Coturnix japonica: one gene and its partners. The protein of the gene in region 2 interacts with the protein of the main gene of each other region in a biochemical or structural test. Links are inferred from orthologs where the notes say so. Each region holds a gene or a part of one and is shown on either strand. Other genes may lie near its edges.

Evidence for each region.
Region 1: the proteins of DOK1 (region 2) and CRKL form a complex in vitro, tested with the Homo sapiens proteins (2 studies listed by BioGRID, with this or other methods). The link is inferred for Coturnix japonica from reciprocal best matches to the Homo sapiens genes DOK1 and CRKL.
Region 3: the proteins of DOK1 (region 2) and SRC form a complex in vitro, tested with the Homo sapiens proteins (2 studies listed by BioGRID, with this or other methods). The link is inferred for Coturnix japonica from reciprocal best matches to the Homo sapiens genes DOK1 and SRC.
Region 4: of the proteins of DOK1 (region 2) and TEC, one has a biochemical effect on the other in vitro, tested with the Homo sapiens proteins (2 studies listed by BioGRID, with this or other methods). The link is inferred for Coturnix japonica from reciprocal best matches to the Homo sapiens genes DOK1 and TEC.
Region 5: the proteins of DOK1 (region 2) and ABL1 form a complex in vitro, tested with the Homo sapiens proteins (5 studies listed by BioGRID, with this or other methods). The link is inferred for Coturnix japonica from reciprocal best matches to the Homo sapiens genes DOK1 and ABL1.
Region 6: the proteins of DOK1 (region 2) and RASA1 form a complex in vitro, tested with the Homo sapiens proteins (2 studies listed by BioGRID, with this or other methods). The link is inferred for Coturnix japonica from reciprocal best matches to the Homo sapiens genes DOK1 and RASA1.

What each region holds. Positions count from the first base shown.
Region 1 is NC_029530.1:7,302,009-7,306,297, forward strand, and holds the start of CRKL (crk-like protein), read right to left. Parts: upstream 2,801-4,289; 5' UTR 2,293-2,800; coding exon 1,979-2,292; intron 1-1,978. UniProt on the Homo sapiens protein: May mediate the transduction of intracellular signals.
Region 2 is NW_015439533.1:510,280-514,220, reverse strand, and holds the start of DOK1 (docking protein 1), read right to left. Parts: upstream 2,801-3,941; 5' UTR 2,733-2,800; coding exon 2,670-2,732; intron 2,390-2,669; coding exon 2,090-2,389; intron 1-2,089. UniProt on the Homo sapiens protein: DOK proteins are enzymatically inert adaptor or scaffolding proteins. They provide a docking platform for the assembly of multimolecular signaling complexes. DOK1 appears to be a negative regulator of the insulin signaling pathway.
Region 3 is NC_029535.1:4,438,549-4,442,787, forward strand, and holds the start of SRC (proto-oncogene tyrosine-protein kinase Src), read left to right. Parts: upstream 1-1,439; 5' UTR 1,440-1,703; intron 1,704-4,239. UniProt on the Homo sapiens protein: Non-receptor protein tyrosine kinase which is activated following engagement of many different classes of cellular receptors including immune response receptors, integrins and other adhesion receptors, receptor protein tyrosine kinases, G protein-coupled receptors as well as cytokine receptors.
Region 4 is NC_029519.1:60,016,314-60,019,813, reverse strand, and holds part of TEC (tyrosine-protein kinase Tec), read right to left. Parts: intron 2,507-3,500; coding exon 2,466-2,506; intron 2,235-2,465; coding exon 2,053-2,234; intron 1,722-2,052; coding exon 1,656-1,721; intron 927-1,655; coding exon 872-926; intron 716-871; coding exon 636-715; intron 272-635; coding exon 138-271; intron 1-137.
Region 5 is NC_029532.1:4,620,324-4,623,297, reverse strand, and holds part of ABL1 (tyrosine-protein kinase ABL1), read right to left. Parts: intron 981-2,974; coding exon 1-980. UniProt on the Homo sapiens protein: Non-receptor tyrosine-protein kinase that plays a role in many key processes linked to cell growth and survival such as cytoskeleton remodeling in response to extracellular stimuli, cell motility and adhesion, receptor endocytosis, autophagy, DNA damage response and apoptosis.
Region 6 is NC_029547.1:54,365,730-54,370,011, reverse strand, and holds the start of RASA1 (ras GTPase-activating protein 1), read left to right. Parts: upstream 1-1,482; 5' UTR 1,483-1,721; coding exon 1,722-2,110; intron 2,111-4,282. UniProt on the Homo sapiens protein: Inhibitory regulator of the Ras-cyclic AMP pathway. Stimulates the GTPase of normal but not oncogenic Ras p21; this stimulation may be further increased in the presence of NCK1.

The DNA of each region.
Region 1 (4,289 bases), on a different chromosome or scaffold from region 2:
CATTTCCCTTTTATTCTGGAAAGAAATACAGGATTAAGCTCCCTGATCTTACTGTCACAGCTTCAGCTCTATTTAAGAGTACTCACCTTTCCCTGAATATCTGAATATGTAACAGCATAAGGTGACATTCTTCATAAAATACAAAATGAAATACTAATAGCTGCTGAAAGTAACATACCACAAATACTGCTTTCTAATATATATATATGTATATGTTTTATATATATTTATATACATGTTATATATATACACACATCATGAAGTCAGAAGAACAGCCTACAAAAGCACCTGAGGTGTTCCACTGAAAATGCCAGATTTTAAAGAGAAATGAGGATTAGCCATAACAGTTCTGAAAGAAACTCCTGTCCACCCCTATTCTAAATCCAGTCCATTAATTTAAAGAAAGTAAAGCTGGAAGTGCTACCTCTCATTCTCCCTCTTGCACCGCAAAGTTTCTTTTATAAACAGAAGTCCAAACCATCAACCACATCAGTGATTTTTGTCCAAAATTCTAGAACTAGAATTATACTGTGGATAACCACTTCAATGGCCTTTGTAGCTTTATAAGGGAGCCTGTCAGTTCGCAGTATGCCAGGTCCCATCCGTCTCTGTGTGCTGAGAGCACCAATATTTGAATGTATTGAAAGCCTTGAAAATAAGGTGGTACTAAGATGTTCAGGAAATGTTTCATGCAAGGTATGACAGAAATACCAAGAGAACAAGTGGGATCAACTCAGTTTAAGTTGCGAAAGCCAAGTCATTGCTGTCCGTGACTAAGAATGAGGTTGGTTGTTTTCGGAGAAGTTTGACACTGCCCAAGTTAACAAGAACAGAGATGAGCAAGAGCATCACTGCAGAACAGGCTGTGTCCGTAAGTTTAAATGCACACACAGCCTTGTGCAGCTCCTTAAATGTTTCTGCACCTGTGAAAGAGGAGGGAATTTTTCACCTACCCGTTTCTTTAGCCACAGCACAACCGCTACTAGGAGGTTTCTCAGCAGCTTTAGGAGCTCTTGAGGCCAGAACTTTGCCACGCTCCTCCCACCACCTGACAGCTCCATGAGCCTGCTGACCACTTGTGTTTTTCAATGTGATGCTACGGTTGGCTTTTGACAACTTACTGATTGTGATTAAGAACTGGATTATGATAACGTTAAATTGTGATTCTAAAACTGAAAGTTATTTGCCCTCCCTCCCAGGAACTTGTTAACCTGAAAGAAGCCCCTTCGGCTGCAGAGTTTAGAATTGAAGCTATTTGATTATTATTATTATTTAATTGGATCACTATTTTAATAGCTTTTCTCCTTCTTTTATCTAGCAAGCACAGAGGATGAAATAAATATGTTCTAGAGTTACTGGTAAGCTGTTTAGTGATGCAGGCTGCAGGTATGCCCAGTGTTGGGTGCAGGACAAAGAATGAGCTCACAGCCAAGTCACATTTTCCCATCCTCCTAAGAGAAGGTTTCTTAGTGCCTGCATACACAAAGACAAAGAGTGCCATAGCCAGACAGAGAGAAATGCTTTTACCCTTTTCTGGGTAAGAAGTCTGGGAAACAATGTTTTATTATGCATGAGAATTCAATCAGAACGATGAAGCAGGAATCACAAAGGCACGACCTGTTGGAATCACTGTGGGTGTGAGGAAAGAGCAATTGAGTTCTGAGGCCCGTGTTTCTTCCCAGGGACGGGAAGACTTCTGAGCCAGCTTCTCAGCCTTCCCAGCAAGGGGACAATACCAGAAGGCTGATACAAAGCAAGACCACACCCTCCTGCAAGACAATTATAGTGGGTGGCAGGGATGTTCCCAGAGCCTCTGCATCTGCCTGTTTTCATCATAAGGATGGGTCCTATGCACTATACTGAGGATAACGAGCAGCCTACAGCCATCTCCGAGATCCCTGTCAGAAAGAGTTCCAAAGCAAAGGACCCCCATCATGCAGATCCCGGAGCTCCGAGGTGGCAGAGCTGCAGCACTCACCTGGGCGCGGGCTCGATGAGGGTGGTGGTATCCAGGTAGTGGATCTTGTAGAACTCCAGCAGGGCGGGCAGGTGCTCGAACTCCTGATCGCCGATCTTAAAGCGGCGGTTGGGCAAGGAGTTAATGATGTAGTGGGACACCCGGGAGTTCTCGGACACCGACAGCACGTAGTCCCCCGGGCAGGTGGACGAGTCCCGCACCAGGAACATGCCGTGCCGCTGCCCCTGCAGCCGCGTCTGCGCCTCCGCCCGCGACACCGGGCCCACGTACCAGCTGGAGCGGTCCGACGAATCGAACCGGGCGGCGGAAGACATGGCTCCGGCCGGGGAAGGGTGAGGGAGGGGAGGAAGAAGGCCGAGAGCCCGGAGGCCCCGCAGGAGGAGAGCCGGGGAAAGGGAAGGCCCGGACGGGCGGGCGGCAGGGCCGGGGGCGAGGAGGAAGCGCCCAGCCCGGCGGATGGGCGACTCGGGGACGGGAGATGCGGAGATGGAAGCCCCGTGCCGCTCAGGCCCGAGGATCGGCCGGGCGGGGCCGGCCAGACGCGGCGCTCAGGGCCCCGATGTGCTCAGCGGCGCGGTGTGCGGGGCAGCATCCTTCCTTCCCGCCTCTCTCAGGCCCGGGCAGAGCTGCGAGGAGCGGCGGCGAGCGGCAAAGATGAGCGGCCCGAGAAGGTGGCGAGGAGTATCCGGCTACGGAGCCTTAAAGCCGGACCAGGGGAAACGGGAGGGGCAGAGCGCCGGGCTCCCGCTTTCTTCTACGGGCTCCCTCCCCTCTTAGAGCCGAGCACCAAAATGGCGGCGGCGCCGGGCAGTGGGAGCCCGACGGAGACACCGCCCCGCGCAGCCGCGTTACAACCCGCGGCAGCGTGAGGGGAGAGCGGGGAGGTGGGGGCTGTGCCGCAAGTGTCCGCCTGGTGCTGGGCTGGAGGTGTGTGCGGGGAGCCGGTGGAGTTGGTGTGCTGCTATATGGGCCCCTCTTGTGAGACCCTGGGCTCTCACAGCTCCTCATTGCAGCCTTTCAGTACCTGAAGGGAACTTACTGCCAGGAGGGGAGTAAACTCTTGGAAAGGGCTGACAATAGCAGGACACGGGGAAATGGTTTTAAGTTAAAAGAGGGAAGATTTAGGTTGGATGTCAGGGGGAAGTGCTTCACTAGGAGAGTGGTGAGGCCCTGGAACAGGCTGCACAGGGAGGTTNGAGTGGTGAGGCCCTGGAACAGGCTGCCCAGGGCGGTTGTGGATGCCCCGTCCTTGGAGGTGTTCAAGGCCAGGTTGGACGGGGCCCTGGGCAACCTGATCTAGTAAAGGTGTATGTTTGGTGGCCCTGCCAGGCAGGGGGTTGGAACTACATGATCCTTGAGGTCCCTTCCAACCCGGGTCATTCTGTGATTCTGTGACTGGGCTCCTTGTCCGCATGCAGTTGGCACCCACATTGCCTCCTCTGAGCACTTATGGTGTTGGTTTCCTAAGCGTTCTGAGTTTCCTCTCTTGTGGTGTTCTCAGATGAGGAGTTCAAAGCCCTTTGGGGTGCTGGCTGAGTAGGAAAGAAGGCCCGGGAAGGGCTTGAGCAGGGCCCAGCAGTGCTGGGTGCTGCTGTGAGCTGGAGGAGCAGCACGAGCTGTGGTAGTGGGTCTGATTTCAGGCATCACTCTGTGCCCGGCTGCCCTAGGTAAGGACAGGACAAATGTGCTACAGACATTTGCAAACACTGCTTTTTAGGTCAGATCTGTGATTGCACTCAGTTTTATTTGTTTTGTTCTACTTTTGAGGCTGTTAGTGTGAAACAAAGCCTAGTGAAGTAAGTAACGTCTCAAGTGGAGAAGCAAGATTGGGGGTAGATGTCACAACCTGCCCAAGCTGGATGCTGTGCAGGCTGAACTCCAGCTTTGCCTTCTTCCCTTCGCACACTGTTTGTTAAAAGACTTGATCACAGCATAGCCAGTTTTCTTTTCACTTTATTTTCTATGTTGGCAGCCGGTACCAGCTGAGGTGTTTGGGTTGTTCTGAGCACAGATAACAACAATGGAAGCTAGCTCGCCTATCTCAGATCCTTATGTTTTAGCAAAAATATTCAGGAAAATCTTGTGACATCACTAATACAGAAGGATCTTAAACTAGGCCCTGAATACATGTGCAGGTATCGCTTCACCAGCTGCTGAGTACAGCCATTGCCTGGGTGGAAAACAACAGCTGTTTAATCATGCAGAGCAACACAAGCAAAACAATAGGGCTAGAGATGAATAGTTCCATCTGAAAATTCACATCCATGCAAACTTCTTTTCTCTTAGGGAAACTTACCTGTTAGACGTATCA
Region 2 (3,941 bases):
ACCAAGCAGGAAACTTTCCCAGGGTCACGTGGCCGGGGTTGCAGCACATCTTGCAGAAGGCAAGCTGCTGCAGTTTCAGTTTAAAACTAGTCACATGAGCTCCCCTGTGAGAAGTAAGGCCCAAACAAGGCCAACAGATTCTCTCTGGCTTCTAAACAGGATGCGCTGCTAAAACCCAAAGTCCAAGAGCTGACAGCAGCATCTTCTGCCCTCCTGAAGTATCCAATGGAGCAGAGCTCAACCTGGGAGCAGGCAGCCAAGAATGCCCAGGGGCTTTGTTGGACTGCACCTTCCCTCATGCTCAAAAGAAAAAGAATCAGAACAGTTTGGGTTGGAAGGGACCTTTAAGATCCTCTAGTTCCAACCCCCCGCTATAGGCAGGGTCACCTTCCACTGGGCCAGGTTGCTCACAGCCCCATCCAGCCTGGCCTGCAATGCCTCCAGGGAGGGGACGTTCACAACCTCAATGGGCAACCTGTTCCTGTACCTCACCACCCCCACAGGACAGAATTTCTTTCTATTACCTAGTCTAAATCTACCCTCTTTAAGTTTAAAGCCATTTCCCCTCGTCCTGTCACTATATGCCCTTTCAATAACTCACTCTCCAGCTTTCCTGTAGGCTCCTTCAGGTCCTGGAAGGCCACTATCTGGTCTTCTCTGAGCCTCCTCTTCTCCAGGCTGAAAAGCCACGGCTCCCTCATGCTGCCCCTGCTGGGGAGGTGCTCCAGCCCTCTGATCATCTCTGTGACCCTCCTCTGGACCTGCTCCAACAGCTCCATGTCCTTTTTGTGTTGGAGGCCCCAGAACTGGACACAGTACTCCAGGTGGGGTCTCACAAGAGCAGAGTAGAGGGGCAGAATCATCTCCCTCAACCTGCTGGTTGTGATTCTCTTGATGCAACCCAGGATCAAATGATCTCTGTGGGCCATTCCCAAGCTGCTTACCTCCTGGACCACAGTTAACACAACACAAAATCTCACTCTCCAAGCAGATGAGCAGAAATTGCAACCAAGCACCTTCACCTTCTTGCATAGATCACATGCAGCAGCTCCTACACCTTGTGCTCCAGGGCAGGCCTTCAGTACAGCCCCTTGATCTCACAGCACTGTCAAACTCATCCTTAAGCTGCTGACCAGCTTCTGGACCCCAAGTTTGCAACTGGCAGCTACCAGGTGAACCAAGGTGTTAGCACAGCACTGCTCCAAGGAAGCACTCATCACTGCCCCCACCATAATGAAGGTGGGTGGTGGGCTCCCAGCTGAGCACCAGGAACCCTGCCTAGGACAAAGGCTGCAATACAGTCTGCATGACACAGGGCCACAGACATGGAAAGACTCCCGGTGCCACCAGTGCCTCTGAGCTGGGCCAGTCACTGATGGCTGCAGGGAGGTCCTACAGGGAAGCCCAGCCCTGCATCCATAGCCTGAGTCTGGAAGCACTGCCCAGCAGTGACCAATTCTCCCACCCCAAAATGAGTACAGGGCACATGTGGGATCAGACAGGCAGGGACCTGTCATAGAGCCATGCAAACACCAACACATACAGGCCACCACTGCCCTGTGATCTGCCTTCTCAAGGATGCAATAGGCAGCTGATAGCCAGCCCTGGGGAGGGGCTGGGAAGGGCTGGGAAGCTGGAAGCCATGGGCCAGCACTGATGCTGGCACTGGACAGTGACCCCTAGGCTCGGTGAGGGGCTGCTCTGTCCCCAGAGCTGCTGGTGCTTCCCAGGAGCCTGACGGGTCCCAGAGCTGGAAACTGCACCACTCAGTGTTGAGCTTCTGCCTCTGCAGGAAAGGCAAAGAGCTGGGACCGACGGGGACACACCTCCAGCCCTCAGCAGGTCTGAGGGGCTGAGCAGGGCTCCGTGCAGCAGCGCAGCGGATGTCCCGGAGCGCGGGGCACAGGCAGGAGCCCCTGGGGACGTTGTGCTGAGCAGCCGGGCGGCCCCACGAGTCCAACCCGGGCGGCTGCCGAGGCCGGAGCCGCTTCGCGGGGCAGCCCCTGAACGGCCGCGGTGCCTCGGGACGGTTCGTCGGGGCCGCGACACCGACACACGAGATGCCGCCCCCGCCCCCCGCCCCGCTCACCGGGAAGGCGATCTCGCACAGCTTGGCCACCCACTCGTCGCTCTGCTGCCGCTCGGCCGCCAGGAGGTAACTGCGCCCGCTGGTCTCCAGGCGGAAGGCGGCCGTGCCGGCCCGGGGGCCGCTCTCGGCGGGCGCGGGGCTGACGCTGGTGCAGTCCGCCAGGCGAACCACCGTCTTGTCCAGGCGCCGCGTCCCCAACCGCCCGGCCGGACCCGCCGGCTCTTTGCAATCGAAGAACTCCAGGCGGGCGACGCCGTGCTGGCTGGCCGGGAACAGCGCGAACCAGCCCCGCTTCCACCGCTGCAAGGCACCGAGTCAGCGCGGGGCCTCCCGGTCCCGTCCCGTCCCGTCCCGTCCCGTCCCGTCCCGTCCCGTCCCGGAGCACGGCCGCCCCCGCCCTCCCTCCCTCCCTCCCTCCCTCCCTCCCTCCCATTGCGGCCGCCCGAGCGGAGCAATCTGCGGCCCCCATCGCTCGGCAGCGCTGCGCTCGGCTCGGCTCGATGCGACCCACGGCCCGGAGACCGACGGAGACCGACCGACCGACCGACCCCGTCCCGCCCCGTGCCCCCTCGGCGCGCACCTTGGTGCCGAACTTGTTGCTGTGCTGCACGAACAGCGGCCCCTCCTTGGCCGGCGGCTCCATCCCGCTCCGCGCTCCCCGCGCTTCCGCCGCCGCTCCGGGCTCAGGGCGGGGCGGGGCGGGGCGAGCACGTGAGGGAACGCGCGGGAGGGGCCGAGAGCAGCAATGAGCAGCAATGAGCAGCAATGAGCAGCAATGAGCAGCAATGTGCGTGGGCGGCGTGTGCGTGGGTCTGTGTGTGTGTGTGTGTGTGTGTGTGAGTGTGCGTATGTGTATATGTGTGTATGTGCGTGTGTATGTATGTGTATATGTGTGTGTGCATGCGTGTGTGCGTAGATCACCGCGCCCGGCAGAGCCAGGAGAGCAGCCCCGCAGTGCTTTGGCTTTGCATCGGATCATACAGTCTGGATACTGGACACACTGCATCCACACTTGGGAAAGAAAAGGGACAGAAGGGCACTGCCCGGGGCACTGTCCTTCACCCCTCACTGGGCTCCACGCAGCCTGACATCCCCAGCGGTTGGTGGCACCGGGATATGGCTGCTGGTGCAGGATGGAGGTTGGGCACCCGGCACTGCCTGAGCTGGGCCTGGCCACTGCAGCCCACCCAACCTGGAGCCCAGCCTGTCCCCGCAGCACAACCCAGCACAGCTTTGTGCAGGAGGTGAGCAATCATGGCCTGTGCCCAGCCAGCCCCAGGAGGGGCTGCTTGCTCAAGTAACCCCGCCTGGCAGCACTCAGCTGGCTTTCCTGCAGTATAATTGTCTGCCCTGGTGCAGCTTTTATCGATGAGCACGATTCTGGTTATGAGCAGCATCGTGTCTGCCCCACCCAGGGACTGAATCTTCACATGCTTTGAGTGCTCCTTGCATTGTGCAGCTGCCTGCGTGTCACTGAGCTCTGAGCACACTCTGCTGGCCCACGGTGCACTCTGACTGTCGGGCTGCAGCCGGTCAGTTGCTCGCAGGCTCCTCACTCCCCACACGCCCAGACAGCATCACCTGGCCTCCCTGCACTGCCTGAACCTGCAAGGGGGAAAGGAGGATGCCGCAGATCCTGGCTGTTGGCCTCTGACACCCATTTCTTCTATGCCAACCCATGCAGGCTGGTTAGATGGAAACGCTACAGGTAGTGAGAGCTGCTGGGAGGGCCCTCAGCAGCGCCCGTGTGCAGGAGGCCACCAACGCTTCATCCTCCTGCATGAATGGGCCACAGTAACAAAGCCACGTGTGTTCTTCCCACCTTATGAAGTCGTGCGACTCAGGCTGCAGG
Region 3 (4,239 bases), on a different chromosome or scaffold from region 2:
TACTCAGTGAGAGTGACTTGGAATTGGAAAGCACCTGCCTTTCACTTCTAGTTTCAGCCTCTGCATCCCTCTCTGCCCTGCCCCCCCACCGTGTGTTTTTGGTGCTACTGAAAGGTGAAGAGAAAGAAGAAAGAGGTTTCAGGGAAGGGAGTGGAATGCCTCACAAAGAGCATGGGTGGGATGGTGAGAAGAGCAGGGCTGGGAGTGGGGCAGGAGGAGAGGGCAGCTGGAGGGCTGCAGGTGAACGCGCCTCGGGCACAGAGCTGAGCCGTGAGCCGGGAGGGCCCCTGCCAGGGTGCTGCGAGGGCACGTTGCTGAGCCAGAGCCCCAAAGAGGAGAGGCTGGATGCCAGGAGTGTCTGGTGGCCATTTTCAATGTGGGTCTGGGCTCAGCCCGTGCAGCAGCACCTCGGGGCTGGGGCCGAGCCCGGTGCCCGGGGCTGTGCTGCCTGCAGGAGGCTGCGGGGCTGTGGGGCTGGGGCAGCCGCTGTGGGTGCAGCATCCATCCATGCCCTGCTATGCCCTGTAGAATTAACAACACCGAAAGGACTTTCCACGGACACCAGGCTGCAGTCTGGGGCCGCAGCCTCCAATTCATGCAGGGAGCGATGATCAGGCTGCTCCTGGCAGGAAGGCCCCCCCGTGCGATGCGCTGGCCGGTGGGGACGGCTCGGTGTGTGCATGACTCCCGGTGACTCATGGGTTTGTTGGCCCTCGGCAGTGTCACGGGAAATATTTTTTTAATAACTCAAATGAGCCGGGGGAGGGGTGCGCACTGCAAACAAACTCAGTCACCCTCCGCACTGATTCTGAAGCGCTGGAGTTTCCAGAAGCCCCCGCTCTGGTCGCTGTGAGGGGCAGCACGAGGGGTGGGCACGACGTCCACGCTCGTGGCTCCACGGGGAGGCTCACGGCACGCTCTTCTTTCCCTGTTTATTCCCCTGCGCTGAAGTTTTGCCTCCTCCCCGAGATCAGGGGGATGGGGACGAGGATGCAGGAGGGCGCAGAATCCATCACAAAGCGGCTGTTCGCTGCGTGCCCCGGTCGCTATAATAAAAGCGAACCGCAAAGCAGCCGGGTTGTAACCTCAGTGCAAATCACCGCTCTCCTCTCGCCGATCCCGGGCGGGCAGCTCGGAGCCGAGCTCAGAACCGCGCCGCGCTCCCACGCGTGGCCCCGCCGCGACCGGGCGGCTCCGGGACGGGGTGCGTCGGTAGAGCCGCGGGCGGGGGCGGCTCCGGTCGCTGCTCCGCACCCCGCCGAGCCCGGCAGCCCGGAGGCTTCTTCCTTAAAAGAAAAAAAAAAAAAACCCGAGGGGAGGGGCTCGGCGATTTTTCTTTTCTTTTTTTTTTTTTTTTTCCTATAAGCCGTTTCCGGTTTACTGCTGCCATATTCCTAGTTTTTTTTCCCTCCCTGTGGGCTGTTCCCCCCTTACACACACACACACACACACACACACACACACACCCCGTACAAGGGGTGATCGGGGGCGGGGAAGCGGCGCTCCGGATCCGCGGTGCTGCGCGATGCTGCCGGCGGCGCAGCCCTGAGCGTCCGGCACGGCCCGGCCCGCGGTGCGGGCACCCAGAGCGGCGGCGGCGGCTGCGGGGGGCGGCGGCCGCGCCCCCGGCACGGAGACAAAGCCGCGGCCGAGCCCTGGAGGGGAGCGGCGGGGTCCGGCCTCGCGGGGCGCACACGCGGGAGGTGAGCGGGGGCTGCGCGGGGTCCGGCGGCGGGGATGGTCCCCGCGGGGTCCGGCTGCGGGGCCGGCGGGAGATGCTCGCCGTGCGGTGGAGGATGCCCGGGTGGCAGCGGGGCGGCTCCGTAATGCCCGCGGTAACGGCGGGGCGGCTCCGGGTTGCGTGGGGCGGCCGTGGGTCCGGCGGAGAGTGCGCGGGGTCCCGGGGCCGGCTGCGGGGCTGCCGGGGGATGGGGACGGGCCCGCCGGGGGAGCGGAGGGGGGAGCTGCGGGGTCCGGCCCCGCCTGCCCGCACTCCCCTTTGTTGTGATCGGGGGCTGCGGGAAACACTGGGAGAGCAGAGCAGGGAGAGCCGGGCTGTGTGCAGGCCGGGGCATGAAATATTCATCGCCCCCCTGCTTTGATGTCTCCTGCTCCGTTTCCCTCTCGATATTCGCTCGTCGGTGATTCGGGGCTCGTGTCCGCGCTCCGCCGGGCGTTCGCTCTGCCCTCGCCCGGGGAGGCTGCAGAGCCCCGCGCTGCCCGGGGAAGGGCTGTACCCGGCCGGCAGGTTCTCCCGGAGCAGCCCGGCTGCTGTGCGTGTCTCCGCCGCGAGGAAGCACCGTGGGACTTGTCTGAACCACGCCGGGGCCTGGGTGGACTTTCCCCTGCTGACCGTGACCCCATGCAGTGCGCTCGGTCCCCGGCTCAGCCCCACGGCAGTTTGGTTTCCTCTTGACCGTCCCTTCTCTCTGCTGCCCGGGAGCTCTGAGGGTACAGGGAGCAGCTCCCGTGGGTGATGTTCCCCCACTCAGTGGTGTTTGGAGCCCGTAGGGTGCTCAGTGCCTGAGTGCTGGGAATGGGACAGCACTGATCCAACAGCATCGGATGTAAACGGAGCTGTGGGAATGTGGCAACAAAAGACTCAGTTTGGTGTTTTTCCTCCTTCCGTGCTGGTGCTCACCCCTGTCCCCAGGGATGTGATGGGGCATGTGGTGGGATGCCGGTGACCTTGTGCTTGGGAGCAGTGTGATGCTGTTGTTCCCCTGCACTCTTCTGCAGGATGATCCCCTGCTGCTGCTGCTTGTTTGTGCTGCTTCGTGCTGGCTCAATGGTTGGCCCATGGACAAACCTCTGCTGCTCAGTGTCTGAGATGAGGCTCCCTGGGGAGCACTGTGCCACTGTGAGCCTGTCTGTGATCCCACTGCACCTCTCCTTAGCAGGCTGTGGGCTGCACCCATTCCCAAGCTTTGACCTTATCTTCTTAGCTTTGGATCTTATCTGAGCACCTCGTGCTCAGGAGCTTCCCCAAAATACAGCCCGGTGATTTTGGAGCTGGGGTTGCTTATGGGCCATCACAGCAGAGGGATGTGCAGTGCTCGCTGTTAAGATTGTCAGTGGCCTTGCAGTGCTCCCTGTGTGATGGAGATGCCCTACAGATACCTCTGCTTTTGAATGACATTGTCCTGGAGTGACTCAAGATCACCCAGGTGGGTCTGTCTGTCCCAGCACAGCGAGGGAAGGGGCCGTAATTTGCAGAGTCTGATGTGTGAAGGCTCTGCTGCATACACAAGGAACAAACTGGTGGCACAGAGGGGACATGGGCTCCGGGCTGGCTCACAATGACATGTTTTAATGACCAGTGAGCACGTGCCACGTCTGGATGGAGAAGGGGTTGCAGCAAGCCCTGGGCTGGAGCACTCAGTCCACGTGCCTAAGGGGAAGCACAGCCGTGCATCACTGCTGCCCCGCACCACCCCAGGCATGGCAGGGGAAGCACCAAGGGCTATCTGCAGCACTATTGCTTCCTGTACCATCCGTCCTGCAGCACGGTTTCTAACTTGGCCCTTTATCTCTGGGAACCATTTCCCAGCTGACCTCACTTCCTCAGAGCTTCTGAGCTCAAAGCCCTCTCGGAAGTGTGGATGCAGGGTGAGCAGTGTGGGTCAGCTCCCTGGAGTGTGATGCTGTGTGATAGTCTGCTCTGCAGTCTGCTTGGCCAGGGGAAAAAGGAGCTGGTTGGTGTGGGCCATATGCTCAGTGCAGCCCTGCTCTGGTGCTGTGACCTTGGTGTGAGGGAAGTGGCACTGCTTTGCACATGCCTCTGCACATGCACAGGCTGAAAAGAAAGCCTTGAAACAGATTTCATGTGGTTTGAACGTGGGCCAGGAACCAGGACCTGTAAATCTGCGTCTTGCTCTGACTTCCCTCCAGGCTACGGATCTCCTCACTGCCCTCCTGGGCACAGAGCTGGGAATGCTTGGGATGCACTGGGAGCTGCCGGGGGGGGCAAAGCAGTGCTGGAGATGTGGAGGGGATGAAAGCAATAGTGGGGATACAGGGAGGAGAAGCTCTGGGGAAGCTGGGGTCTGGCTGGTGGCTTTGCTTCAGACCTTATGGGGGGCTGCTCCCAGCCCCAGGATGGCTGTGCTGTGCAGAGGTGTGGAGGAGCTGGAATACCCACAGTGTAACGTGAGGGGTCCTGTCTTGAGGTCTGCGTTGGTGAAGGGTTTGGAGAGGAAAATGGGGAACTGCAGCACCCGGAGATAACACAGTCTCACC
Region 4 (3,500 bases), on a different chromosome or scaffold from region 2:
GTGTACTGAAATAATATGAAACGCAGCTTAATGCAGTCTTCTATATCTAGGATCTATAACATCCTAACAGCCTTCGTTAAAAACCAGATTCCTTATCAAAAGAACCCATAGTAACAGGAAAAATTCAGTCCCTTTACCTGCTGCATTATGTCTGTGATACTCAATTATTTCTGGGATGGAGTTAAAGAGGTGTTTTTCTGCAAGGTAGTATTGCTTTGGTGATGTCACTGTTTCTTTTATATGGTAGTGTCTTATTCCTGATGAACCTTCTCTGAAAAAACAAGTAAAATAATGTCATTTGTTGAATATTAACCACATGAATTAATTCTCATTTTGGCTTGCTCCTCAACTCAGCTCCCCACGTGAGCACATAGGCTGGCACAAAGGAAAAGACTCAAAAGCATGTCAGAGCCTCCTTTCAGTGGCAGGTCAGATCTACACTACATTAAACCCAATGAGGCTTAAGCACACAGTCAAGAAGCTGATGTTATGTCACCCACATATTCTAACTAGCAGCCCTCCCCCTCTTTGCTGAGCTCTCTCCTGGCCTCCCCTCTAGGCCAAGAGTCTCAGTGTACACTCACTCACACAAATTCAGACAAGGTAAAGTATACAGGGTGGGCACAGAAACTTACCCTCCAAATTTTGTATAAAGGGAAACTGTATACAAGCCAGGCTGACTTGAATCTCTCACCACAAAACCACCTTCTTTGTCCTAAAATACAAGCACATTAACAGTTTTATACCACAAATAACTTTAATCTTCATATCCTTCATTCTTGTTCTGTGATTCGCACATGTCAAAATGAAACGTTAGCTTAAATAGGTTTAAGAAAATGCCGTGGTTTGTACACAAGGCTGCTGTACTCACCTCATTTCTAAGGAGCTGCTCTGCCTTGCTGCGGTTCAGGTTCCTGCTGTACCACCTGCAACACAACATCAGCAACTAACCAAAAGTTCTCCCAGACATCCAATTTATGTAAAAGGCTTAAAACCAAATATTGCAAAGTTACCATTCTGATAATTTTTTGTCCTGGTGCTCTTACATATCTACTTCATAAATAAATCAGAAAAATAAAACATAAAAAACCTCTCTGTACTTTCACATCTGATATACTGCATGAGTACACTGAGACTTCAAATGCGCCAAGCGAAACACTTTGTTGAATTTGAGAGCTTCCTTGCAAAATAGCTGATGTTACTTACATTTACTTTGTACAATTTCCGCTGTTCTCTCCTCTATCTTCCTGCCACATCCTGGGTAGGTATATCACTTTAATATTAAAAAACATTCTGCATGTTTAAAATGGATAATTTTCTTTTTCTATCAGGAGACTTTTTTGTTAAGTTTTTACTTTTGTTTGTTTTGGGTTTTTTTTTGCTTTTAATGCTAATATTCTAGAAACTACTTGCCTAACGGCCATCTCTGTCTTATATCTACCTTATAAACCACAACAAAAAACAGCAAGGAGAAACAGAAAAAATATTTACATATTTAAAATATTTAATCTCCCAGATCAGTGCTATAGTAGACAGCACTGCTTTCAACATCTACAACAGTATAAGGTTTCAAAACAGAAATAAATGCATTGTAAAATAAAAGCTATGCTTTAAGTATTATGGTATTTCACATTTTAATTTAAATGTTCACTTACTCATATTGATCAAGGTTGTTAGACTTCTTTCCTGTTACATAGTTGCTTGGGATATATCCTTCATGCCTAAAAAATATATTCACTCTTAGCAAAAAAGGACATAAAATTACATGCCTAGAAGACAGTATAAATTCTGTTAATTACCACAGGTCACTAGCAGTCATTCATTTATTATTATTATTATTACTATTTTTAACCAAGCTACCCAATCTACTAATTACTCAGTAATGAATTTTCCACATCAGCATTTCCCCATTAGCCTTCATCTAAAGAGTTACACAGCCTACAGAATTGGTGCAAATTTCAGCTATTTGTTAACACACAATCAATATAAACTACTAAAACATGAAAATAGCCTGAAAAACATTATAAGGAAAAGTAAGAAACTCATGTTTACCCATGTTTGTCTCTCGCCTTCCACCAGTGAATGTCATTCTTCTCAATTACTGTATATTCTTCACCTTTATCTAACCTTAAATCATGACGTTCTGTGGGCTGGAAGTCATACATTGCAACCACCACCTCCTCCTCTTCGTTGTCATTTTCCTCAGCTGGAGGAACAGGTGGTGGTGGCCTTCGCTGAAAACGACACAGAATCATCATCATTGCTCTCCACTCTGTGATTCCCCACCACCCTACCTCTGCTATTACACCCCTGCAAACCAATCGAGCACTACAAAAGCAAAAGACTGGACTGCCCCACTCTGGAGCTGCAAAGGTCAGGCTAAGGCATGCATGGGACATTCACACCATTGCAGCCCCCATAGTTCTTATTTTTGGACCCTCTCTGCCAGTAGTGCAGATACCTACCATACTTTTTTCTGGCACTGGCAAAGGCAGCGTTACTACACCTAGAAAGAGAGCACAGAAAAGCATTAAGTATCCTATCAAAAAAGGCTAGCTCAGACAGTAAGCAATGTCCACAGCAGGCCCTGTCAATAAATACTTCTTGTACAGGAATGTGTAAAGTTATATAAAAAGAGTTAAAGTTTTTAAATTACTTCTTGGGTCCAAAAGTATTTTTTTCTCCTGAGTTTTTTTCCATTCAAAAGGTCTTGTAGTGTAAAGGCAACCACAAGCAATCCTTTTATGGAATGGAAACCACTGTTCCTAACCACTGCCACTCAAGGCTGTGATCAAGGGAACCACCTGATTTCACCAGAAGGTGAGCATTGGTGCCACTTCTTTTCTTACTAAGGAGGATTCCTTACATTAAGTTCAAAGTCAAATAATTACTGTACTGTTATGCAGAACAATATTATGCTGAGGGTCATGCTTTCACATTTTTACATGCCACAGCACACACTGCTGAACAAGCACAGGCTGTGATTTGCATGCTGGAAGAGTCACATGCATTCAGAAGCGATGTCTCATCCAGATTCAGCATTTGGACATTTGCAAACTTCTAAGAAACCTGAGCCATGTGTCTGCAAATTCAGTAAGCCTGGTTGCCCTCTTGTACCATTTTCACATCAGCGTAATTTCTCTGATTCCAGCAGGGTTGTTATTCTTCTACACAGGCTCACAGGAGTCATTTATTCAAATGAAGAACTGGCGAAGATTTACATCTGAACCTTTTTCACCATGAGGTTTTAACCTTAATCTGAGGTAAACACTTGATCAAACAGGTTTTAGATGGGAAAAACTAGGCAAGTGGAAAACAAATTCAGCAATCTTAGTGATTCCTTGCAGATGTCTCCAAATGGTTTTTTGGGAGGACAACTCACGTTTTAACGAGTTTATTTTTACACAAAGTGCTTGGAGATGAAAAATATTTTTATTTAATCTAGGCACAGTGTCACTGAGTCACCCTGCTCTGTAAATTTCCCCACTACTTACAGCATT
Region 5 (2,974 bases), on a different chromosome or scaffold from region 2:
CCCTTTGTCCTTCCCTGCCAACTCAGAGGTCTGCTTGAGCCTCCTGAGCCGCGGCTCCTCAACAGAAGCTTTGCTGGCACCTGCAAATGCAGCAGAGTTGGGTTTGGCAGCAGAACCTTGGTCCATTGTCGCAGTGGTACCTAAGGCACTGGATTTGACTCCATCGTCCTTGTGCAGCACGCTGGAGGAGGGGGGGACGGCGGGTTGCCTACGGCCAAGTTTTGGAGTCAGAGTGGGAGGGCTGGAGCCAGGACTTGACTCCGCATCTTTGAACACATCATCAGTGGTCTCTTCATTTTTCTTAAGCAGCCGTGGAGGGGGGGTCACTGTCCCCCTGACAGCAATGTCAGTCTTGGTCTCATTTGCCCGCTTTCGAGGCAGTGCTGGCTTTTCACTTTTGTGCCCCCCAAAAGTGGAGGAATCAAACTGGCGTCCTGTGGACTGCAGATCCCGGGGCAGAGTCACTGATTTCCACTCCGTGTCCTTTGCACCGTGGGGCACACAGGAGGCTGAGCAGGACCTTAAGAAACGCTTGCTGGAGTTGGAACTGCTCTCCTCCTCCCCAGACACCCCCCGGCTGCTGCTCATTGTGCTGGACTTCTTCCGTAAGTGGGGAGACAAAAACCCAGAGTTCCCAGCAACAACCCCGTTGGTGACACCGGCCCCATTGCTTGGGGTTTGAAACTTAGAGGGGTCGGCTGCTTCTGTGGGAGGAGCAACGAAAGCTCCATTGCCAGCATCCCTGCACTCCTCCTCCCCACCCACCCTGCGGTCCGAGTGGCCGTCCATCTCTCGGAAGGAGCTGCTCCGCTTTGGAGGGGTGGGGGCAGTCTTCTTCTTCTTCTTGATAAGGGCACTGAAGAGGTTGGGCTTTTTGTCTTTTGGAAGCAGCCTCTCATCTTCATTCAAACTGCTCTCCAGGGCCACTCTCTCCTTCCGTGGCAGCAGAGGAGAAATAGCAGGTTCGTGGTCCAGAGGGTCTGCAAGGGAAAGAGAAGAGACTACTGAGCTTTGCTTCAGTACCCAGGACAAGCTGCTTTCTTCCACGATCTAAACCATTTCAGCACCTCCAAAAAAGGTGCAGGTTCTGAAAAGAAAACCACCAGGAATAATTCAAGTACAGCTACACAGAAGCCCAGACTGAATGTGATCCTTAATCCTCCACACACTCACCTGTGAGGTGGCCAGACTTGGCTGCCAAACTACATTCCCTGTAGGCTTCTGATTTAAACAGCAATATACAAACACAAACTGTTTATGTTCAGATTCCCATCCTTGCATCTAGAGACTTGTCTGAACTTCGTACTGAGAAGAAGATAAATACAATGATGCTGCTTCTTTTGGTCCCTGTGAGGTTGCTGCCTTTAGAACGTCTGACCCTCCGAATTAATAAGAAATCTATGTAATCCACCCTTGTTCTTTTAGCTTCTGATACTCCTAACCTCCTTCCCTGACGTCGCTCTTCATAGGGAATGGAAATAACTCTTTCACAAGCAAAACCAAGACATCCCTTGGCAGCTGAATGCCTCAGGTCACATCACCAGAAAGATCACCAGCTTAGCACAGTAGTGGAGGGAAGTGGGAATAACAGCCTCCTTCAGCAGGATTGCTCCAGAAGAAAACAGTGGGGTGACCCTTTCTCCACTTACAAGAGGTATTTAAAAATGAATAGTGGTTTATAATAAATTTATGCTGGGTCCTGCATGTCTCTGTATTTGACTGACTGGGGGTCTCATTCCAGGCCAGGCACTCAGATGGCATGCTAATTCAAGAGAGCAATGCCTTTAGGGCAGCATATACATTTAGAGCTCAAGTAGGTAGTAAGAAGGGAGACGAAGCAGACACATAGATCAAAAGAAGGCTGCTTCTCAGTCACATACTGGTGATCATCATGCTGAGGGTAGGATTTTGGTTGAGGAAGGAGTCAGAAGAAAAACAGTTTGGTACATAGGGAAAAGAGTATGATTCCAAAGGACTAAGTGCCACTGAACCATTCACATGTAAACTGAGGCAGACCTCAACAAACCAGCAGAGCTCCTACAGCACTTCAGACAGTGCTGTTCAGACACAGTGGGGCTTTGGAGACCCAGGGAAAACTAGTAGCTTTCATTAAGGACCAGCTTCCAGCCACTGGACTATGAGAACACTGACAACTAAACAGGAAATTGCAATGAAACATCTATAGGAAATATGTGTTTTTCCACAATAAAGACTGAAATAATACCCAGCATAATGTTAAAATCATATTGTTCCTGCTGCACTTGAATCTCTCAAAGTCCTTAAGTATTTAAATGAAGTTATTTTACTTCAAAGCTTACAAAACTAGGCAATTATACCTCCTGTATACAGCGGGCTGGATTTGCCATCGGTCTTTAACACTACATTGCATTAATTAAGTTATAACAAAAATAGTGAGCTCACTATTCAAATCTTTTTCCAATAGAAACAGAAGGCTCTTTGTTATTTTCATTAGCAAACAAGTCAATTCAGAAATCAGTACATTCTGTGAATAACTTTCTTTCCTGTTTCAGTCACCGTCACTTTTCCAGCATTTTACACTCCCTTTTGTGTGTGTGTTTTCCCCTTTCTTTATCGAGATGTACATTTGCTACTGAAAGATGTACCACTAGGTGAGTCTGGCGTCATCCAGAAAAGGTCACTCACAGGAATGGTCAGACAGGGCGTGTTTATCACACACTGCATTTTGTTTTTATCTTGCTGTTTTTCAAGCAAACTGGATACGAATCTACTGTATACATTCAGTGCCTCAGCACTGCGTTCATTACCTCAGAATGGAAGAGAAATGCTTGGAGAAACAGACTGAATAGAGTTTAATTTCATGGAAGATTCTGTAAATACCTCTTTGTCCCTTGCTGCAATTATATTTGGTACCTGCCAAGAGTAATACTCTTCAGTGCTCCAAGCACAAAACTGGTGTGATGGAACAGTGAAGAAACCTCCCTTATGGGGCTTG
Region 6 (4,282 bases), on a different chromosome or scaffold from region 2:
TTCTTTAAATAAAGCCTCATCAAAGCCTGGAATTCAACTTGAAAGTCTTAAAAAAGAGGAAATGCAAGTGACCCGGGGCAGATGACTTTGCTGGCAAAGTAGAAAGAAGCAGCGTGTCAGGGGCAGGGGTGAAACAACTCGGCCAGTCTCACAAGAAATTACCTTTCTGTGGAACCCTTGCCACACTTAGAACTGCTCTACCCAGATTAAATCTATTGGAGGAGTGCTGCAGGAAATTCAGAGCACAGATGCCCTGGTCTCCATGCTTATATGCGCATGCTGTTGCCCCTTTAAGTCAGTTAAAAAAGCGTGTTTCGTCGAAGCAATCATAAATATTTACACTGCAGCTCTATGTTTAGGAATATCATTTTAACAACAAGACTGTGCTGAAATCCTTTTATTTAAAAACCCGTAGGAGAAAGCAAACAGCATTAAACAGAAGCCCACGGAGCCAGTGGGCTGCAAGACAACGTGGAATTACATATCCGATTGAAATATGGCAACGTGGAAACCAAGCCCGTAAGAGATGGCTGTTGAGACTGTAATTTCTTTACCAGCACAGCAGGGCATGAACGCGCTGCCATTCTGTGAGCCCAGGGACGCAGACAGCGTCTGCTCTGACACCGGGCACGAGCCCAGCAGAGTCCCACGGGTACTCGCAGCGCTGCAGGACCTGGAATGGGATCCTGCCTTCAGAAGGCAAGATAGGAAGGTTCGTTTCGGCAGATAAAAGGAGGTTTGTCTGCAGGGCGGTGGAAGCGCGAGTAGGAGTTTGTTTTAGTGGCCTGGGGAGAAATTCACTTAATTCTTTTGGTAACACAAGGCTTTGAAAACCTGAATGTTTAGATGCCTCCTGAGAACTTTGGAGAGGCGTGCAAGTGTCAACGTGCTGCTATTTGTCAGCTCTTTTATTATGGGGGGGGAGGGAAAAAAAGAAGAAGAAGAAAAAAAGAAGATAATGAGAGAAGTATCAGCACGGTAACGGAGTAACCGGCAATGGAGTACGGGCGGCAGTGCGGTCACACAGCGGCTGCAGGCGATGCGCTGTTCTCCTCCCGCAGCACACGGCGGTGCAGCTATAACGGGGACACACAAAGCACGGGCTCAGCACGCCCCGATCGCGCCGTCCCTTCCCGCCGTGCCCCCGCGCCACCTGCCGCCTCTCCTGGCTTTTACTCCCCATACTTTCTTCTATTTTCCCTCCCAAAGGCAGCTCAGCCTCAGGGCGCACCATGGCCGCCCCTTGGCCGCACACCATGGCGGCTCGGGCCGCTCCTACCCCGCACTTTCCTCCCCCACGCGGTGCGGCCGCTCCCCCTCCTGCCCCGCCCAGCTCCACGCACGCGCTCATAGGGACGAGGCTGGGGAGCGGCGCACATGCGCGGCCCGTCCCACCGCCTCCGTCCTTCCCCCCTCCCGGCTGGCGGGCGCACGGGGGCGGGCACAGCGCGGGGCGGCCGAGCCGCTCCCCTGGCGGCCGGCGGGGCCGAGGCAGCCGCGCCGGGGCCCTGCGGAGCCGCCGTGAGCGCGCAGCCCCCGCCCAGCCGGGTATTGTTCGCGGCCCGTCTCCGCCGGGACAGTTTTGCCCTCGTCCCGGCTCCGCTCCCCGCCGGGGCGGGGTGGGCCGGGGCCCCTTTGTCGCCACCTCCCCGGCGTGCGGCGGCGGCGGCGGCTGCGGGCGGGAGGGCGAGCGGCGGACGGGAGGGGGGGCGAGGCTCAACATGATGGCGGCCGAGGCCGGAGCTGAGGACGGCGGTTCGGTTACCTCGGCCGGGACGGCGGCCGCCGCCGAGCCGGGGCACTGCCGAGGCAAAGCACCGGGGCCGCAGGGCCCCTTCGCGCCCGGCTCCAGCTCCGGCTCCGGCGGGGACAGCCCGGGCGCCGGCCCGGCTCTGTGCTCGGCGCTCGGGCTGCTGGCGCTCGGCTCCACGGGAGCCCCGCCACCGCCCAGCGAGCCGGGCTCCGCCGCCTTCCCCCCGCTGCCGCCGCCGCCGCCGCCCCTACCCCCGGCCGGAGGGCTGGCGGCCGTGGACGAGGGCGACTCGCTGGACGGGCCGGAGTACGAGGAGGAGGAGGTGGCCATCCCGCTGAACGCGCCCCCCACCAACCAGTAAGTACCGCGGCCCCCCACCCCCCTCGGTTCCGCTCCCGGAGCGCAGGAAGAGCGCGGCTCCGCGCAGCGCCGCGTGTCCGTGCGGCGGGGGGAGGCCCGGGCGGCTCCCGGACAGACTGGGACTGCGGCGCTAACTTTGTAACAGGCGGAGACCTCCCCGCTGTACAAAGCGCTGCTCTCCTCGTGTCATCCCTTTGCATTCCGTTGTTTATACCTTAAAAAAAAGCAACAAGAACAGCACAAAGAACACCCCAGCCTTTTTGTTATTTCATACAGGAATATCACGAAGGTTGCACGCACGTGTTTGCCTTCGTGGAGTAGGGAGGGTGAGGTTTGCTCACTCTGGAACGCGGGTTGGAAATGAGTAGAATTCTTCTTCTACTTTAAAATAGTGGGCGGGCTGTGCTTACAGAATAGCGCCTGACTTTGCTGCTCAGCCAGTTTAAAGCGAGGCTGATGTTGGTTTGTCTGTATGGAGGCAGGAGGCAGAGGTGAAAATCCTGCAAACCTCCTGTTGGATTTCATTCTGTTATCTCTGTTTTAAGGTGAATGGATGTCCTGTGGTGCTGGTAACAGAATTTCGCACTCTGAGCAGAGCAGTTCTCAATTTATATTGTGTGAAAAATGTAGGATCAGATAATGCTGTGTGTAGTTTGTGTAATTAATGAGCACTCCATGCACAACCTTTGGGCTGAAGCATAGGAAGTCTGCAGGTTTGTGTGTAGCACCTCAAGCCCCGTTTCAGTACAGAAAACAGTTCTCTGGGAGGGTGCCTGGCTATTTAAAAAATGGAGTTGCTTCAGAAGCTCTATTGGTTGCACCAAGTAGTGTCTAGAAATGTGTTGTTCCTGAAGTTTCCTGAGGATAGTAGATAATGTAAGGTTTCAAGGTACTGAAACAGTTGGGCTAGATGTTCATAGCGGGCTTTTCCAACCTTAAGGAGTCTGATTGTGTGAAACCATGAGGGTTGGTAGATAGTTTCAAGGCGTGGATCAGAAGGACGACCTGAAAGCCCATCTGAGTTTGGGTTCTTTGTTACATTCTTTCCCAGTACCACTCTTAAGAGACTTCTGCACCATTCGTGTATTTCCATGATTTCAGGAATCATTAAAGTCATCAGGAGGACATAAAAATGTACCGATATGAATCCCTTTTAAATTCATGTCTCTCGCTTTGACAGTCTTCCCTGTAATCTCCTGATTTCTTGACTTTCTGTAGAAGTTTGCTAACTTAAGGCAGTGTTTGAACAGTGTTTGACTGGCGTCACTAATGAGCTGGAAATATGATCAGGCAGTTCTGACAAAGGATCAGGAGGGAAATAGAGGCACACGAATGTGAAATTACTTCTTCAGGGTTGTCAAATCACTGGAGCACACAATTCTGTACTTCTGGTTTTCTCTCTGAAAATAGATCAGACTGCTTTTTCCATTAGATCCAGTTATGTTAGTCAGAGAGAGAGAGTCCTTTTTGGAAGTATCTTTAGGAAATGGGGTGACAGATTGTAAATGACCACCTGTTCGGTCCTAAATATGCAATATGGACATATGCTAATAGGAGTGGGATTTGCTGTCAGAGCATTGTCCTGTGACTGAAGTGCTGGAGTGATGTCTGTCTTTAAGTGCTTTGACAAGTGTGTGCTGAGGGGAAGGCTGTGCAGGCCCTAATTTGCTCTGGTTAACAGTACCTTATTCAGACAAAAGGGAGACAGGAGTCTTTGCAGAACCAGGGCATAACTGTGAGCTGAGCTTTCTTCATAAAAGAGAATCCTTCACAACAAATCAAGTATTGTGGAAAATGTACACGTACCTCCCTACTCTGTGTTCTTAACAGCTTTTCCTTTGCCACATAACCCTCGGAGTGTGACTTTTCAATAAAAAATTGATTGAATAGAACCGTGTTTCTCTCTCATTCAGCTCCTTTATGGTGTCAGTTTTCATCGTTCTTATTTAAGTCATTCAGATTGGCCATATGCTGATAGTAAATCGCATCCTCTCAGTCCTGCTGTTTTATTTTGGAAGGGCCCTTTCTTTGTAGATGTACCATCTGCTTCTATGGAATTAAACTCCTGATTTATTATCAAAACAAAGATCAATATTATCTATAATCTTATACAGGGAAAGGTTTGCTATAATTCTTTAGGAATAATGATTGAATTTATAGTTAAGATTA